3 linked regions of the Schizosaccharomyces pombe genome follow. The gene in region 2 interacts genetically with the main gene of each other region. Each region holds a gene or a part of one and is shown on either strand. Other genes may lie near its edges.

What was found. Genes that interact genetically often act in the same process or in processes that back each other up.
Region 1: mutations in cdc4 (region 2) and pxl1 are lethal when combined (synthetic lethality), as found in Schizosaccharomyces pombe (2 studies listed by BioGRID).
Region 3: mutations in cdc4 (region 2) and acp2 are lethal when combined (synthetic lethality), as found in Schizosaccharomyces pombe (2 studies listed by BioGRID, with this or other methods).

The regions. Positions count from the first base shown.
Region 1 is NC_003423.3:2,709,675-2,714,707, reverse strand, and holds pxl1 (paxillin-like protein Pxl1), read right to left. Parts: upstream 2,541-5,033; 5' UTR 2,197-2,540; coding exon 2,168-2,196; intron 2,112-2,167; coding exon 824-2,111; 3' UTR 501-823; downstream 1-500. Other genes in the region: erb1 (WD repeat/BOP1NT protein), read left to right, coding at 1-284; asn2 (asparagine synthase), read left to right, coding at 3,214-4,860.
Region 2 is NC_003424.3:5,325,834-5,333,590, reverse strand, and holds cdc4 (myosin II light chain cdc4), read right to left. Parts: upstream 4,404-7,757; 5' UTR 4,374-4,403; coding exon 4,343-4,373; intron 4,291-4,342; coding exon 4,159-4,290; intron 4,086-4,158; coding exon 3,945-4,085; intron 3,879-3,944; coding exon 3,786-3,878; intron 3,714-3,785; coding exon 3,685-3,713; 3' UTR 3,073-3,684; coding exon of another isoform or gene 2,812-3,072; 3' UTR 2,767-2,811; downstream 1-2,766. Other genes in the region: serine/threonine protein phosphatase PP2A scaffold subunit Paa1, read left to right, coding at 926-940, 992-1,039, 1,094-1,199, 1,308-2,211, 2,273-2,373, 2,429-2,766, 2,812-3,072; SPOM_SPAP8A3.07C (phospho-2-dehydro-3-deoxyheptonate aldolase), read left to right, coding at 5,482-5,490, 5,762-6,871; U2 auxiliary factor small subunit Uaf2, read right to left, coding at 7,330-7,757. UniProt on the Schizosaccharomyces pombe protein: Involved in cytokinesis. Required for the formation and function of the contractile ring.
Region 3 is NC_003424.3:2,103,530-2,107,731, reverse strand, and holds acp2 (F-actin-capping protein beta subunit acp2), read left to right. Parts: upstream 1-2,298; 5' UTR 2,299-2,482; coding exon 2,483-2,488; exon of another isoform or gene 2,489-2,685; coding exon 2,686-3,082; intron 3,083-3,131; coding exon 3,132-3,535; 3' UTR 3,536-3,702; downstream 3,703-4,202. Other genes in the region: protein Atg14, read right to left, coding at 3,778-4,202. UniProt on the Schizosaccharomyces pombe protein: F-actin-capping proteins bind in a Ca(2+)-independent manner to the fast growing ends of actin filaments (barbed end) thereby blocking the exchange of subunits at these ends.

The DNA.
Region 1 (5,033 bases), on a different chromosome or scaffold from region 2:
CTAAACCATATAAAAATCTTCGATATCATTCACGTGCTCTTCGCGATGTCTCATATCATCCTTCCCTTCCACTATTTTGCTCTGGCTCTGATGATGGTGATGTTCAAGTGTTCCACGGTCGTGTTTACAGTGACCTTCTGGCTAATCCCTTGATTGTTCCTCTTAAGATTTTGCGGAATCATAAAGTGGTTGATAATGTCGGTGTTTTATCCACATGCTGGCATCCAAAAGAAGCCTGGTTATTCAGTGCAGGTGCTGGTGGAGAAATTCGGATGTGGACTTGAAAAAGGTTTGAAACGTCTTAAATATTTTTGTTTTCTTCACTTGCTTTAAAATTTAGAAAAACTCTACTTTTAAAAATAATGTTTGGTAGTGTTTACTGCAAAAGATACTTTTTCAATGCTGTATTATAGTTTTGCTAACAAGTCGAAAAGATTGTTTTCGTACTTGATTTTGGATATTTAATAGGAATATAGGGGTTTTCGAAAGTTTAAAATGCATTTGTGCAAACTGAATATGTTTTTATTTTTTATTTTTTGGTAAGTTATCTAAAGTATTTAAGTATTACGTGATATCAAAAATCGTAACCGTTGAAATTCAATAGTGCTTTTTATATATCTATAGTTACCTAATCATTAATTGCTTAATTATAAAAATACAGCAAGTTTAAATGCAAGTAAACATGCTGGACTTTGTGGATTAAATGAAATGATTTAAAATCTCCAAGATTTCCAAGACAGCTTTCCTTATAAAGCTAAAATCGATGAAAGAAGTGAAAAAATAACAAAAAAAAAAGAAAAAGAAAGTGATGAGTAAGTCTGAGTTAATCCAAATTAAACTTGACTGATATCGCCTTGCAAGGACGGCAAATAGGGGTATTTTCTATCATAAAATAACCCTCATCTCCAAGTAGGGCATTACAAGCTCCGCAGGTCCAACATTGGCTATGATATTCACCATCAGACCCTTTTACACTGATCCCCAAAATGGGTTTACGGCATTTCTTGCACTTAACAGCATACTTATTATCATAACAAGTCTGACACCAGTATAGGTCGTCACGGTAAATACAGGGTATATTTACATTAAAAACTTCAGAGCAACCAGCGCAAAAATGATGATTTTCATGAAACCAATCATTGTTGATATGGACCGCTTGGTCTTCAATTGGGGTTTTGCAGTGCTTACAGCGAGGACTGAACTGTTCATGATAGTCTAGATGACAATAAAATTTTCCCTCGCGGTAATAAAATCCAACGTGCTCTAAGTTCTGGGAACAAGTATCGCATTTGAAGCATTGAGGGTGTAATTTCTTTCCTGAAGCACTAATTATTCTGCCAGCGCGTAAAGAACCGCCGCAACTATGACAGGATTTTTCAGAATTGCCTCTATAAAGAACTGGTTTTGTAGATGTATGAGAAGATACCATTGAAGGCTTAAGTGAATCTGATTGAAATAAATTATTTGAGGACAAGTTGCTAGGCAATTGTGAAGTGGGGGTGGGCAAAGGATATAAGCTATTAGCAGGAGCAGAATGAAAAGAATGCAAAGCGGGTCTACGATTGGAAAGTTTACTGGATTTCTGTAAAGGAAGAGTAGGAAGTTGTTTGGATGCGAAGGTTTTTTGTCTGTCTTCAATGCAATCATGATCAACAAGCGGCTGTAAACCGGTATGACAATCGTAAACATTTCGTACGTCTGGATAATTAACATGTGAATTCAATTCCTCCGGCGAACTAGGAAACTCATCGTCGTCACTGTATGCAAGAGATGGCAATTCAGGTAAAAGCTCCTTTTTTAAGCTATCGAAAGTAGAAGTAGAAGCAGAGGTTAGTAGTGTTTTTTCCGGCGACGAAACATTAGAACGAGAGAGCTCGTCATCAGGCAGATCAAAACGTACACGATTTTGTTTTATTGTTGGATTCCTCTTGGACAAAGGAGATTCAGGAGTCTTCAAACTTGGTTGCGGTAATGGTGTAGCTATTCGACCTCCAGTAAAGTTAAGTGCTCCATCAGATAACCGAGAACGAACTAAATTGTTTAGCGGGGAGCCATTAGTAGAGACCGGCGAAGAAGGAGCAGCACGAGGACCAGTCAATCGACGTTCAAATCTACAAAAACGAAGTTAGATACCTAATTGGGTAATAACAATAAGACAATAGATTACCTTGGTAATTCTGGAATTGGTGAATGCATTTGCTGATATGCTTCTCAACTATCAGGACACTAATCAACGGAAAGAATTCAGGATCGTTGACAACCTTAAGAAATCAGGATAGCCAAGCTCGCAGGGTATAAATCTAGCCGCAACACTTAAAAACAAGATAAAAAATAGGAAGAGAAGGATAAGGAAGGAAAAACAAAAATCAAGCTGGGATTAACTTATAGAAAATTGTTGCCAACGTAAGGATATATATCTCAAAGAGCGGAGTCCCCCAAAAAAACTAGCTGTATTAAAAAAATGCAATTGTAAGCAAGTAGTTATTATTTAGAAAGCAGTAATATTTGCTTTATCCAAAGTGTTTTAGCTAATAAGTGTTGGCTTTGTTTAAGTGTATATTCCAAAATATAAACAAACATTCGTTGTTATAGAAACCAGCCTCATAATAGGTAACATTGTACCTTTAACGAATACTTAGAGAGTACGTATTCAATGTTTGTATACCAGCAGAAAGTAAAAAAATGCGAATATATTAGTAATTAAAGTGAATTAAGCCATTCCTATGCAGAAAATGTTCCAAACGAAATCAATGTTATTTGTTGGACAATTTTATATGTTGCGATTTCATAATATGGTACAATATCTTTTTATAATTTATTTTTTTTATACTTTGGCAGTAGATTATTGTGGAGCGCGTTATTAATGCTTACTGTATTGTTACAGCTCTTTAAATGTCATTAACTACCCCATTATGCTTTGTCAGGCATACAGCATTTCGCTTATTGTTTCATAAATAGAAACCTAATTTTGGCTTTCAAGCTACAGATTGACCTAAGAAAATTCTTTACCAGTTGTAAGTATAATTGTATAAGAAAAAATATGTAGACCCGTGAGTCTGTTCAGTGTGTAGTTACTTATAAGCGTTGCAATGTGTCGCAAAATGATATTGTATATAAAATTACGATCACACTGTACCACACAAACGTCGTTAAAGGAAAAAACACTTTTTTGACTGTAGATTTGTTAGAAGCAAAAGTGTTTGAGAATAGTTTATGTGCGGAATTCTTTTCGCCTTAGCGGAAGACAGAGATAATCTTCTTGAAAGTCCATCTTTTTCAGCTTTACGAAAAAGGATTCGGGCTAGAGGACCTGATTTTTTTGGTAAGCATAAATTGAATAGCGGACCTTGGAATTTGCACTTTGAGTCAAGCGTTTTGCATTTACGTGGCCCTTCTGATCATTTAACGCCTCAACCTCATGTTGACAGTTTTGGAAACGTTTTGTGTTGGAATGGAGAAATTTGGCAAATAAACCATAGCGATCATCACAAATTTACGCTCAATCGTAATGAAAACGACGGTGCAAAACTTTTTGAACTTTTAAACAATAACCCGGGCGACATTGAAAAAATTTTGGGAAGTATTCAAGGACCTTTTGCTTTTGTTTACTACCAAGTTCGTACAAACACATTGTGGTGGGGAAGAGATCGCTTAGGAAGAAGATCCCTTTTGTATAGTTTACGAGATAGTAATTTCGTTCTCTCAAGTGTAGGAAATTCTAGTGATTTCCGAGAAGTTGAGCCTGGGTTTCATAGTGTGCAGGTGGACTTGATCCCAAAAATTAACTTCTCTAAATCATTAATGCAACTGGAAAAAACAAACCCTCTTCCTCCTGTGGATGAGTCCTTTCTCATGGGCTCAATCTCTTCAGACACTGTGGACACATTGCATACATATCTTATCAAAGCGCTTCAAGATAGAGTTTTAACAATCCCCAAACTGTGCTCTTCAAACCTTGACTGTAGTCATTATAGCCGAGTTTGCGTTCTTTACTCTGGGGGAGTGGATTGCGGTGTATTAGCACGGCTAATGCACGACATAGTTCCCAATAACGAGTCCATCGATTTAATTAATGTGGCTTTTGAAAACCCAAGATTTACAGAGACATACCGTGACAGAGAGACGGGACTTCTTCCTGACAATTTTGATGCATACGACGTATGTCCTGATAGACAAACTGGATTACAAGGCTGGCAGGAGCTTATTTCAGTTTGCCCTGCTCGAAAATGGAATTTTGTTGCTATAAACGTTCCTTATACAGAAGTATGTGAAGCACAGGAAATAGTCAAAACACTTATCTATCCGAACGATTCAGTTATGGATCTTTCTATTGGATTAGCTTTTTATTTTGCTTCACAAGGGCGTGGTGTACTTTTACAAAACGTGGATGATATCAAACTGAAACATCAATTACCTTCCTATACTATAAAAGCTAAAGTCCTCATCAGTGGCCTGGGGGCTGATGAGCAGCTCGGTGGTTATATGCGGCACCTACGAGCGTTTGAACGGAAAGGTATGGCCGGTCTTGAAGAAGAACTGCAATTGGACATTGATCGTATTCCACATCGTAACTTGGGCAGAGATGACAGGGTAATGTCTAATCAAGGGAAAGAGGTGCGTTATCCTTTTCTCGATGAGCGTCTGATGGCTTTGTTTAGCAAAATGAAAACTACTGATAAAATGCGTCTAGATTTAGTTGGAGGTGACAAACTAATTTTACGTGAATTAGGACGTCGATTAGGTTGTCCCTTAGCTAGTCAAGAAAAAAAGAGGGCTATTCAGTTTGGTTCTAAAGCAGCAAAGATGACTCCTGGAACCGGTAGAACATCAGGTCGTAAAAAGTTAGAAGTTTGTATTTAAAAATAATAATAATAATAATAAATTATACTTGAGTATTTCATAAAACTACAAATGTTAACTCATCTCCAAAAGGGAATCAATAGATGAACTAAGCCTTCCTTGTTGCGCATTTAACACAACTTCAATCACTTCACTGTCAAACGCTGGAAACATAGCTCTTAAAGCCGTAATTG
Region 2 (7,757 bases):
AACAAACGAATCGATTGCGGCAGTCAATAATTAATTATACGACCATCTTAAAAACGAAGTATTAATGAAAAAAAACTGTTGAACCAAACTGAAGGACCTCAATTTGAGAATCCAACACATTCATCCTGAGGTAGACGAAATAAACTTGCAATATAATGAAACCCCAGTTATGTAAGGTATCGTAAACAAATGAAAAATGATCAAATTTTTCTCACTAAGTGTGTATAGCAGTTTTGCTTAACATTTCGACAATAGCTCCAATATTAATAAATCCGAATTATCTTCTTGCATTAAATATAGCGAAAGTTTTCGGTTTGAAACATGCGAAGTTTGGAAAAAGCTTTTTAATGGCTATAATCACTTAATTATGTTTTGTTTTTTGGGTAATTTCATAGTTTGAAATAAATATGACTGTGTAATATACCATTCAGCCAGTTGCGATACATCAATATGGCAATTGAATCCTTTATTATCATACAAATTTCCAAAAAAATAATCAATTAACATACTCATGCAAAATCGTTTGATGTCATATAAAAGCTTTAGCATTGGTAGAAATGTGATTCCAAACCATATCCCTTAAACAATACTTCTCAAAAACAAAGATTAAATTAGGTCAGGAATAAAGAGAGAAGACATAAAAAGAATTCGTGATGCTAGACAATTCAGTATGTAAACATTTAAGTGGAATTTATGTTCAGTCAAAACTCTGAAAAGCAGAGTATATTATAAACACAAAATAGTTTTTTAGAATTATTCAAAATGATTCATGTTAAGGAAAACCTTTGAGATACTTGCTTGGAAAACTGTTTCAATTTGGTAGCGTCCGCTGTAACACACACTCCTTCTTCACCTCGAAAAGTTTAAAACTTCCTACCCACTTTATTTGCTTGTTTGCTAAGAACGAGTTGTTCTATTATATAAAATGCAAACAGAGAATGTGTGTTACAAAATGTCTCTTTTACAATTTATTAACCACGACTATTTATAGCAAGTGAACGATTTGTATCCGATTGCTGTTTTGATTGATGAGTTAAAGGTTGGTAACAAATTGTTTTACGTCTGATATGTTCAACTCTGACTATTGTTAAAGCATGATGAAATTACTTATAGGCTCAATGCTTTGGAACGGTTATCGACAATTGCTCTCGCTTTAGGTCCTGAACGTACAAGGGATGAGTTGATTCCCTTTTTAGATGGTATGCATTCAATAATAAAATTATGGAACTATAGGTTTAAATTTTTAAAATTCTTTATATTTTTTAATAAACGATGTATGTTTGTCGGCTAACATTCCTTGAATACAGAATCGATTGACGATGAGGACGAAGTCCTATCAGCTCTCGCCGACCAGTTAGGAAATTTTGTAGATTATGTTGGAGGCCCTGAGTATGCGCATGTCCTTTTGTCTCCCCTTGAAAATCTTGCTGCAACTGAAGAAACGGTAGTCCGCGATAAAGCCGTTGACTCTCTCAATAAAGTATGTATTTGCCTATCCCAAGAACAATTAGAGCAATATTTTGTTCCATTGGTTCAACGTCTTTCAACCGCTGAGTGGTTTACCTCTCGTGCGTCCTCTGCTGGGCTTTACTGCGCGGCATATTCTCAGTCAGAAAATCCTGCTGTCAAAGTCTCTCTTCGTCAAAGTTTTAGTCATCTATGTCACGACGAAGCTCCCATGGTCCGTCGTCCTGCAGCAACGAACTGTGCCAAGTTTGTTTTTTTGGTAACTAAACAGGAGGCTATTGACGAATTCATTCCATTGTTCAACTCCCTTTCTAATGATGACCAAGACTCAGTTCGGCTCCTTTCTTTCGACATTATGGTTTCTTTGGCGGAGGTATTAAAATCTGACTCGGAAATTCGTCACTATTTGCTTCAACCATTAAGGTCTTTTGTTTCGGATAGCAGCTGGAGAACACGTTATATGGTTGCTGCTAATTTTGTAAAACTTGCTAAAGTAGTTGGACCATCTCTTATTAAAGATGAACTTATTAAACCATTCGTACTGCTCATGAAGGATACCGAGCAGGAAGTCCGCCGTGCTATTGCTACTCAAATACCAGGATTTTGCGAATTGTTGGATAAGCGAATTGTTCTTGAAGAGATTATTCCAGTTATTCAAGAGTTAATTAATGATCCCGCTCAACATGTCCGTGCTGCTTTAGGGATGAACATAGGTGCTCTCGCCCCACAATTAGGAAAGGAAAAGTATGTCTGCTAAAAATAACTTTTCTTTTAAAAACCTCATTTTACTAATCGTTATATTTAGGACTACAGAGTATCTTTTACCAATGTTTTTGGAATTACTTAAAGATGAAAACCCTGAAGTTCGTCTTAACATTATTTCGAAATTGGAAGTTGTAAACAAAGGTAAATTGCAAATTCAAAATATAGCTATTGCTACAGTTATACTAACTCACTTTAGTCGTTGGTATCGAATTACTTTCACAATCTTTATTGCCTGCAATTGTTACACTTGCTGAAGATAAACAATGGCGTGTTCGTCTTGCTATCATTGACTACATTCCACTACTTGCTCAGCAGCTTGGGGTCGAATTTTTTAATGAGAAAATGGGCAATTTATGTATGTCATGGTTAGAGGACCATGTATATTCTATTCGTGAAGCTGCGATAAAGAATTTGCGAAAACTTACGGAAATTTTTGGGTTGGAATGGGCAACTGAGACAATTATTCCAAAGTTTTTGGCTATGCGAAGCCATCCAAATTATTTATACCGAATGACAACTATTTTTGCGATCAGTGTAAGTTTTTCTTTTTTGCTTTTTTCCAGTTCTAACGTATTTTAGGAAATCGCACCTGCATTGAATGCTGAAGTAATTGAAAAACAAATTCTTCCAACTTTGGAACAGTTGGTTAATGACCCTATTCCTAATATTCGCTTTAACGTTGCCAAGGCGTTTGAAGTTCTTAAGCCTGTTTTGGCAGCTGGTGGTGACTCGACCGTATATGAACAGCAAATCATCCCATTGCTCGAACAACTTACAAAAGATAATGACCCTGATGTTCAATATTTTGCTACTCAGGCCTTAGAGCAAACAAATGACTAATTGTTGGGTTATATGATTGCATGTCTAAATGAGCCAAAAGTTTTACCTTTATGATTTGTGTTCACTATGTAAAAATGCAAAAGAATGGACTGTCTTGACTCTGGCCATTCGTTCGACATCAAGTGTCAAGCCCTACATCTAATTCAAAGCATCGTATTGACACACAGTAAATTAGATATACAAGATATACACGATATGGCAAAATTGGAGCCGAATGCATCAAGAAAGCTGGCATCAACCGTAATTACTTACGAAAAGTGTAATTTTGAATGAAAACTTATATTTACATCTGGAGAGATTCAAACAATTTAAGCAGCTGAGATATAAGGTCATTTGCATGAGATAACAAATGGTTGTTAATCATATTCATAAATATACGAATATAGAAGGATATCTCTATTTCCGTATGCTAAACGATATGTGTAGAAATTCCTGCGAGTATCGAAAAGTCCAGTTATCTGTATTCAGGAACATATTGCTTCATAGTCCCAAGTGTATCAGATGGAAAAGCTGAACGAAAGTAAACTATTGAAGACATAAAATTGAAATAAAGGTGTAAATAATAAAGGAGAAACATATGCCGGGTAAATTATGCAAACTATGTAGATTTAATTAATTGGCAAGAATCATTTGAACGAAATCTAAAGGAAGCAGTTAGTATAATTAAGTATAGGTAGTTGATTGCCGAAGCCCAGAGTAGTAATAGAGCATACCGTGATAATTAACCATGCCATCTTTTACGGGAACACCCTTTAATAACTCGTCCATTTCTTCGTTGCTGAGTTTTTCACCCAAAGAAGTTAAAACTGATACAATTAGTTTCGCATTTTTTTATCAATCTGAAAAAAGGATAGATCTCTATAAATACATACCATAGCGCAATTCACCCACTCCAATCATGCCAGTGGCATCTTTATCAAACACCTGGAAGCCCTTCACGAATTCCTCTGGGTCACCAGGCATATCAAACCCATTGGGACGATTTAACACTTGAAGGAATTGTTCCATATCGACTACCAATTAGTATTGTCACTTAATGCACGGCTAAGGAGTATAACTCTCCAAACCCATAACAAGAAATCATACCTTCTGCGGGCAAAGTAGATTCAATTTCAGTAATCTCAGCCAGCGTAGGATTTTGTCCACACGCTCTTAAAAGATCACCAATGGACGTTTTGGGGATGCGACCAGTTCCATGGCGGTCAAATAAAGAAAAAGCTATCTTTTCGTTAATAAACATTTTGAAATGATTTCAAAAAGTAGTTATTACCTTGTTTATAAGGTGAATCGTCTGTCGACATGTTTGACTATTCTAAATGGATTGTTAGGATGAAGGTAAGTGTACTAAGTCGACTGTAATCTGTGTACACGCACCTATAAGCCCCATAGCAACCGTTGCCATGATAATGTTTACTGTATAGCGATCTGTTTAGTAATTTACTAAAGAACGTAGAGCTATGTAAACCAGCTTATATGAACAGAATTGTCATTTACTTTGCCAGATTTTAATTTAGAACATCATTCGTATACAGAATATGAATAGTCATACTAATGTCGAGCTACTTGATAAATTATGAAATGGCTGGCGATTTCACTATTTCTAGTGCAATACAAAATACGAGAGTCACCGGAACACGAGAAATACAGTACTGATGCACTTCATAAATTCAATAATCACATCAGAATATCAGATATCATTAACTTGTTAACCTCAAAAGACTAATCTACCGGAAAGCCAACGCTGTCCACCAGACTTCTAATTTTCGGCGTTTGTGTACCAAAAAGGCAGTCACAGATGGTATATCTAAATTTTCGGGCTCACAAAATATGCATTGAGTAAAAGTAAAATAAACGAATCAATATGTTTTTATATGTTGCTTTAATGCGTGGTTTATATAATTGAGCGAATCTTGGAAATAAGTATTTTGATAAGCAATGTATATATTCTCATATCCCAGTGGTACATGACAGTAAACATTGTAGGAAACGTAATTATTAAATATTATATATCAATCCCTTTTAACATTAATTTATGAATTAATAAGAAACCGAAAAAAGGCTTTATTTTATGTTTTTACGCTCAACCTTCAATTTACTTTCAAGTAATTAAATAGCAAGTGAAATCTAGAAATTGATACAAAACAAAGGACTTATAAATTTGAACAAATTTTTAAGCGATGATGTCCAGAAATTGCCTACTACTTGTTTCGCAGTTCCGATGACTTAGAGCCATTATCACTGGATCATCTTATTACTGGACTACATATATTTTTCGTTGGCGCTGCTTCGAACTCAGACAGAACCAACCTTCGTCGTAGTAAAGGACCTTTAATAGTGTTTACTTACTTGGCATTCAACAACTTAGGAAGCACTCTTTGACCTAAATTTATTAATTCTATTTAATAAGCCATGTCTCCGGTAAGTAACCCCAATTGGGCATCCAAAGAATTTTGCTAGTAAAAATTTTCATCAGTCGGAGAAACAGTACTGAAAGTTATCTTATTGAGTTATATAGTAGATTTTACTATGCGGATAACAAATTTGTTTTTGCTGATGAATTTTTAGGCAATTGAAATTTTAAATTTTTTTGTTTCTTTTTTTTGAAATTTTTATTGCTTTATGTTGATTGCTATGTCCAGCATGTTTGGTCTTTTTTTTTAATGTCAATTTGCTAACATTATTCAATTAGGTTTTTTTACCCAGCGGTGAAACTTACGATCAAGAGCATCTTGATGACAACCGTGTCTTAGGTTACAACCCTTTGGTTCCTGCCGCTTTGGTTCAACAAGAGATTCCTGTTTCTGAAACTTCTCGCAAAGTCATCACTGACTCCAGAAAGGAGATTCAAGCTATTCTCAACAAACAAGATGACAGAATTATCGTTGTTGTCGGTCCTTGCTCCATTCATGACCCTAAATTGGCCATGGACTATGCTAAGTTGCTGAAGCCCAAAGCTGACGAGCTTCAGGATGCTTTGTGCGTTGTCATGCGTTGTTATTTGGAGAAGCCCCGTACTACTATCGGATGGAAGGGTTTGGTCAACGACCCTAACTTGGATGGTTCTTTTGCTATCAACAAGGGTATTAGGATGGCTCGTCAAATGTATTGCGACGTTACCAATTTTGGCATTCCTTTGGCCAGTGAGATGTTGGACAACATTTCTCCCCAATTCTTCGCCGACTTACTCAGTTTTGGTGCTATCGGTGCTCGTACTACCGAGTCTCAATTACATCGTGAATTGGCTTCTGCCCTTTCCTTCCCTGTTGGTTTCAAGAATGGTACTGATGGTACTGTTGGTGTGGCGATTGATGCCATTGGTGCTACCGCCCATCCTCACACAATGCTAGGAGTTACTAAACAAGGTCTCGCCGCTATTACCATGACCAGGGGCAACAAGGATACCTTCATCATTTTGCGTGGTGGTAAGAAGGGTCCTAACTATGATGCTGAGCACGTTGCCGCCGTTCGCAAAGATCTTGAGAAGGCCAACCTTCCTCCTCGTATCATGATCGATTGCTCTCATGGCAACTCAAGCAAGAATCATTTGAACCAACCAAAGGTCTCCAAGAGCATCGCCGAACAAATCAGAAATGGCGACTCTTCCATTGTTGGTGTTATGATTGAATCTCATATCAATGAAGGTCGTCAAGATGCTCCAATCCGTCCTGGCGTTAAGGATACTCTCAAGTACGGTGTCAGTATCACTGATGCTTGTGTTAGCTGGGAACAAACTGCTCCAATGCTAGACGATCTTGCTGAAGCTGTCCGTGCTCGCCGTCAAAACCAAAAAAGTAATTAAGACATATAAATGTTATATTCAGCAGTTTTAATTTTTTTAATTTTTGAAACTTATTTTTTCGTAACATACAACAACTGAACAATTTTGGCTTAAATACGGGTTCTATTTATTTTTTTTTGTTTTTTTTTTCTTATATCGTACACAGCTTCTACCAATAACACCTTCGTTTTTAAGAATTGCTGTGCAAGTTTTGCGAAATGTTTGATCGTTTCATATGTTTCTAATCGATCTCCTTTAGCTTGTAATCAGCCATAGGCACATTGGACACAAAATTTAAAACGTCTATGAGTACAGTTGTACAAAGATCAAGTTTATTAGTAAACAATAAAAGAATGCAACATCTATTTAAATAACCTAAATCACAACAAACTATAGCCAGAGATTAATCATAATAAACGAAGTAAAACCGTACAAAAGCAAACCAGAATCCAAAACAAATACATTCCATAAGTTGCTATTTAATTTTTGCGTTCAGCAGTTACACTGACCCATCGATTCGTGGAATCACTATTGGGCTCCTTTTTCATTTCTTCTGCTGCATTTAAGGCCAAATACTTTCTTTGTGCTAGTACCAAATCGCGTAAAAGCTGAGGACTTGGTTTTTTGGCATGCATAAAATTACAAAGGCCACCCCGCTGACATTCCGAAGTTTCGTGTTGCCGGCAACATGCCTCGCGAAAATCAGTTACAGGAGATAACTCGGCGTAGACTGGTCTTTGGGAATACCATCGGGAATTTAAATCATCAATAGCATTTTGGGCAGACTCTTCATACTTGAATCTTACATAAACATTTCCGACTAAGTGATCTCCAACATTGTCACAGACGACTAATTGTTCAACTTCACCGTATTTTGAAAACTCACAAAACATGTCCTCGTAGAATG
Region 3 (4,202 bases), 3.2 Mb from region 2:
AAGGAACTACGATAAAAAAAGGCGTAGGTAACATTGTCAAACGGAACACGAGATATTAACAAAAGAGGAACAATAGCACCACCTTTCCACAGTCTACAATATAATGGTGGTAGACGCGTCGCAACACAGAAAAGAAACGTATCTTTGGCAAAACAAAAAAAAAATTTTAAAGTCAGTTCCTTTCAATGAAGAGACTACCAATTCCAATTTTTTAACCTTTAGGATAAAAAAGCGACAATTCTAACAAACTTCGACAAACCATATCAAAATCCTAAATCACCAGCAAAAAATCCAAATTAAGAGTTGGACTGCCCTCACTGCCTCACCCACTTCACCTGTCATAAACACAAACAAAACTACTTACAAAACAAAATTGCCACGTTGACGTATAAGCTACAGCAATCAACACAGCAACACTGAATATCAAATTGCTAATAGTACACAAAAACAAGAATGAACAAAATTAATGCCGGCTAACCTTCACAACACACGCGCGCATAAACTGCCTATTACACTAAAACAAGCAATATGCAATATTTACTTCGTTGTATAGCGCCAAACAATAACAGATAGCACAAATGACTTAAGATTTATAGCGACTTGGCTTCAAAGGGACAAAAAAGTAGTGCCCTATAACAAATTAACGATTAATAACGATATCGAACTCTTCCGCGCGACTAGCAATTTCAAGAGTCGAACCGAGGAAAAATGTGGTTTGCAGAGGGAAGGAGGAAACATGTTGGTATAAGTCACCGTTGTCCTCAGGGTTAGGGTTTTGATGTGAATCAACATTGCGGCGGATGAACGATTAGATGATAATTTCAATGGAGGGCGACTGACCAATTATCTTTCTCCTACGTCACCACTGGCTAAAGCTATCAGGCGCAACGCAAATCGCGGGGTGTTATTGTAAACAAACAAAACCAAAAAATTCGGCCAAACTATGTGTTCTGCAAGTAAACAACTTAATAATAATACAATTAAAAGATAAATGATCAACAATAATTGCAGGTTAACTTCTTACAAAATTTCGATAAAAGTTTCAAACCCACAAAGCACATTTTCTGTTTTAAGTGTTTGTAATCACACACTCACTGCTACAACAACAGTAATTACAGCCTTTGTCAAGACAATAAACAGATAGAAATACGGAAAAGTGCAATTATCCAATGTAATCCTCCAATGTACTGACAAAAAGGTTCAATCCAGTTTAAGCAAGGTTAGAAATGTTTGTTTACACAATTGGTTTCAGCCGTGCGCTAGTAGTCTTAGTATGGCCAAACATACGAAAAAAGTTAGAATGCAAGATTCGAACTCGGGATTTCAAGAACTCCGAACGGGACAAAGAATCTTATGGAACGGAATGGAATCATTTCTCGGTCATTTGAGAAACCGTCCTACAATCTGATTGGTTAAAAGGACCACACCATGAAAAAACCCATGTGATTTTTGCGAATCAGAAATCGGTGAGAGATGGGAGTTGAACGCTTGTACATAATTACGTGACAGTGGCAAAATCTAGGCTCTCCCAAAATTTTTGATCACAGTTAATGTTCCGCAAATTTTTAGAACGTTGAGTCGCGCTATTCCATTTGAAAACCGTTTAACAAAACAAATTAAATGTTCTTTATTTCTAAGGAACGCAGTTTGAAGATATACGAACACTAAATTCGTAAGTTGTCATACTGCATAACGACAGTAAAACGTTATTAAAGGTTGAGTGGATGCTAAAACAGAAGGTGAGATGTAGATAAAGATCAAAAAGCAGTTAAACAATGCATTTGTTAAGGTTATAAACATAAGAATAGATTTTAAAAGATCCATAGTTTAAATAAAATGAAAGACCATTGCTTAAAATGAAAGAAGGACGTTTGTTATTGACTTTTTTATGACTTTACATGGTTTGACTCGTAGAAAATCCAAACTTTAGATAGAAAGCGATTCAAGCATTGACTTTGGCATATAATTCTCCTTGTTTCTGTATTAAGGAATTTAACCGATATACAGAAAAGTTTTGTATTCGTTGCCAATACTAAATTTAACTTGAAAATGTTCAATATTGAAAAATAGACAGCTTATTGAAGTGACCAACAGTAGCATCTAATAAATTCTTGACTTTTTCCGCTTGAACAAAATGTGCTCTTCTTTTGATTATTTTTAACAGCTCATTGATATTACCAGTTTGATTATAAAGTAAGTTTGAGGTTGGTTTTTGCTACGTTGTCATCACCAGAGGGTTCATCGTTCAATGTTCACCGCCATATGTTGTTCACTTTCTAAACTTACGCAGAAAGCACCAGAGTACAAGTACCTCACCACCAGTCAGTCACCTCTACTATTTGTGTACTGCACCGTGAAGAATCTTCGTAATTTATGCGACGAATCTAAAGTTACTTCCTATAATCATTAAGGCCTCACTTTTATTCTGAGATCGCTATCCGGTTGTATTCTTTTGTTTAAAGCATTATATCATCAACTCACCATGAATGTAAGTATTACTGAAATTAATTACCTTGCCCAATTTTTTTGTTATATTTTTATTATATAGCCATCTGTAAATTCATCTTATCATTGAATGCATATTTCATCGATTTTCGTCAGTATTGCTCAGAGACTTTATGAATTTGCTTTTCACATTCTTTGTCGTTATCCTTCTTTACAATATCAGCTAACTTATTCTTTTAGTCTGAAGACGCTGCATTAGATTTACTCCGACGATTAAACCCAAAAGATATCTCTAAAAACCTAGACACAATTCTTTCCGTCGCTCCCGATTTAGCTGATGTCCTTCTCTCGTCTGTTGATCAGCCTCTAAAAGTAAATACTTGTTCTGAGTCAGGTAATCAATATTTGTTATGTGACTTTAACAGGGATGGAGATTCGTACCGCTCACCATGGAGCAATAAATATGATCCTCCTTTGGAGGATGGTTTAGTTTCTACTGATCGAGTTCGTAAATTAGAAGTTTCTTTGAATGAAGCAATCCGTGTCTATCTTGATCTTTATTACGAGGGCGGTGTTAGTAGCGTTTATCTTTGGGACCAAGACGATAGTTACGCAGGCGCCGTTCTCATAAAAAAGGGTATTTTTATTTTCTGTCAATTTCATTATATAATTCTAACTTCATTTAGCTTCTACTTCTAACTCAAGCGGATGGGATTCTATTCACGTGTTTGAATGTCTGCCTACCACGGAAACCAACGTTTATGATTACCGACTTACAAGTACTATTATCCTTTTCCTTTCATCTGGCTCGGAGGAACAGTCTGCCTTGCCTTCCAAAGCTCTTAACCTTTCAGGTCATTTGACTCGCCAAACTTCTCAACGATTACCAGCGGCAGATGATGACACTGAGATCGCTAATGTTGGCAAATTGGTTGAGGAAATGGAAACTCGGATGCGCAACTTCCTCCAGGATGTCTACTTTGGAAAAACTAAAGATATCATCAACCAGACTCGTTCCATTCAACCCGTTTCCGATGCCCAACCAAATGATTCGGCTTTGCGTTCAGTTTTAAACGATCTTTCCATTTAGGATTGCTTTTTGTTTTCTTTCCGTGATCTTCTCATAGTATTCGTTCCATCTTCAACGAAAATAGTCATAGAAAGATTGACTAATATAAATAAATACACCGATAATCTAATTTTTTTACAACAGTTTTAAAAGAAATTATTGAATTTAATTGTTCAGTAAAAAAGTTTATATAAATAGCATTAAAAAATATACGTTAAGAGACTTTATAAGAAAGCTGTTAATCGAAGATCATGTAAAAAAGGTCATGAAATAAGCTGATATGGTTTAGACGAGGAACGTGATCGAAGAGAGGAGTAATTTATTGGAATTGGAAGACGCGCCAGGTATAATCGGTGAAAAAGGTCAAAATCCATACCCATCTTGTAATGCCAATCTGGCTTTTGAGAAGTTAGCGGCTTGGTACGTAGCTGAACTAACCAGAAACCAGTATACTGCATTAACTCAAAAAGCTGGGATTGGGTAATTCCACGGGGAAACGAAAAAATGCCACAGTTCCATGAAATCCAAACTATGTTATACATTATATACAACATTTGTTCCGATGAAAATGAAGTCATGGGTTTTTGATCAGGCGAAGGGAGTTGAAGCGGGCATGGTAAGGGAATACTGGTATACTGAGCTAAAAATATACAAATAAAGGATAAAGTTAAAGCACAATCAGGATTTA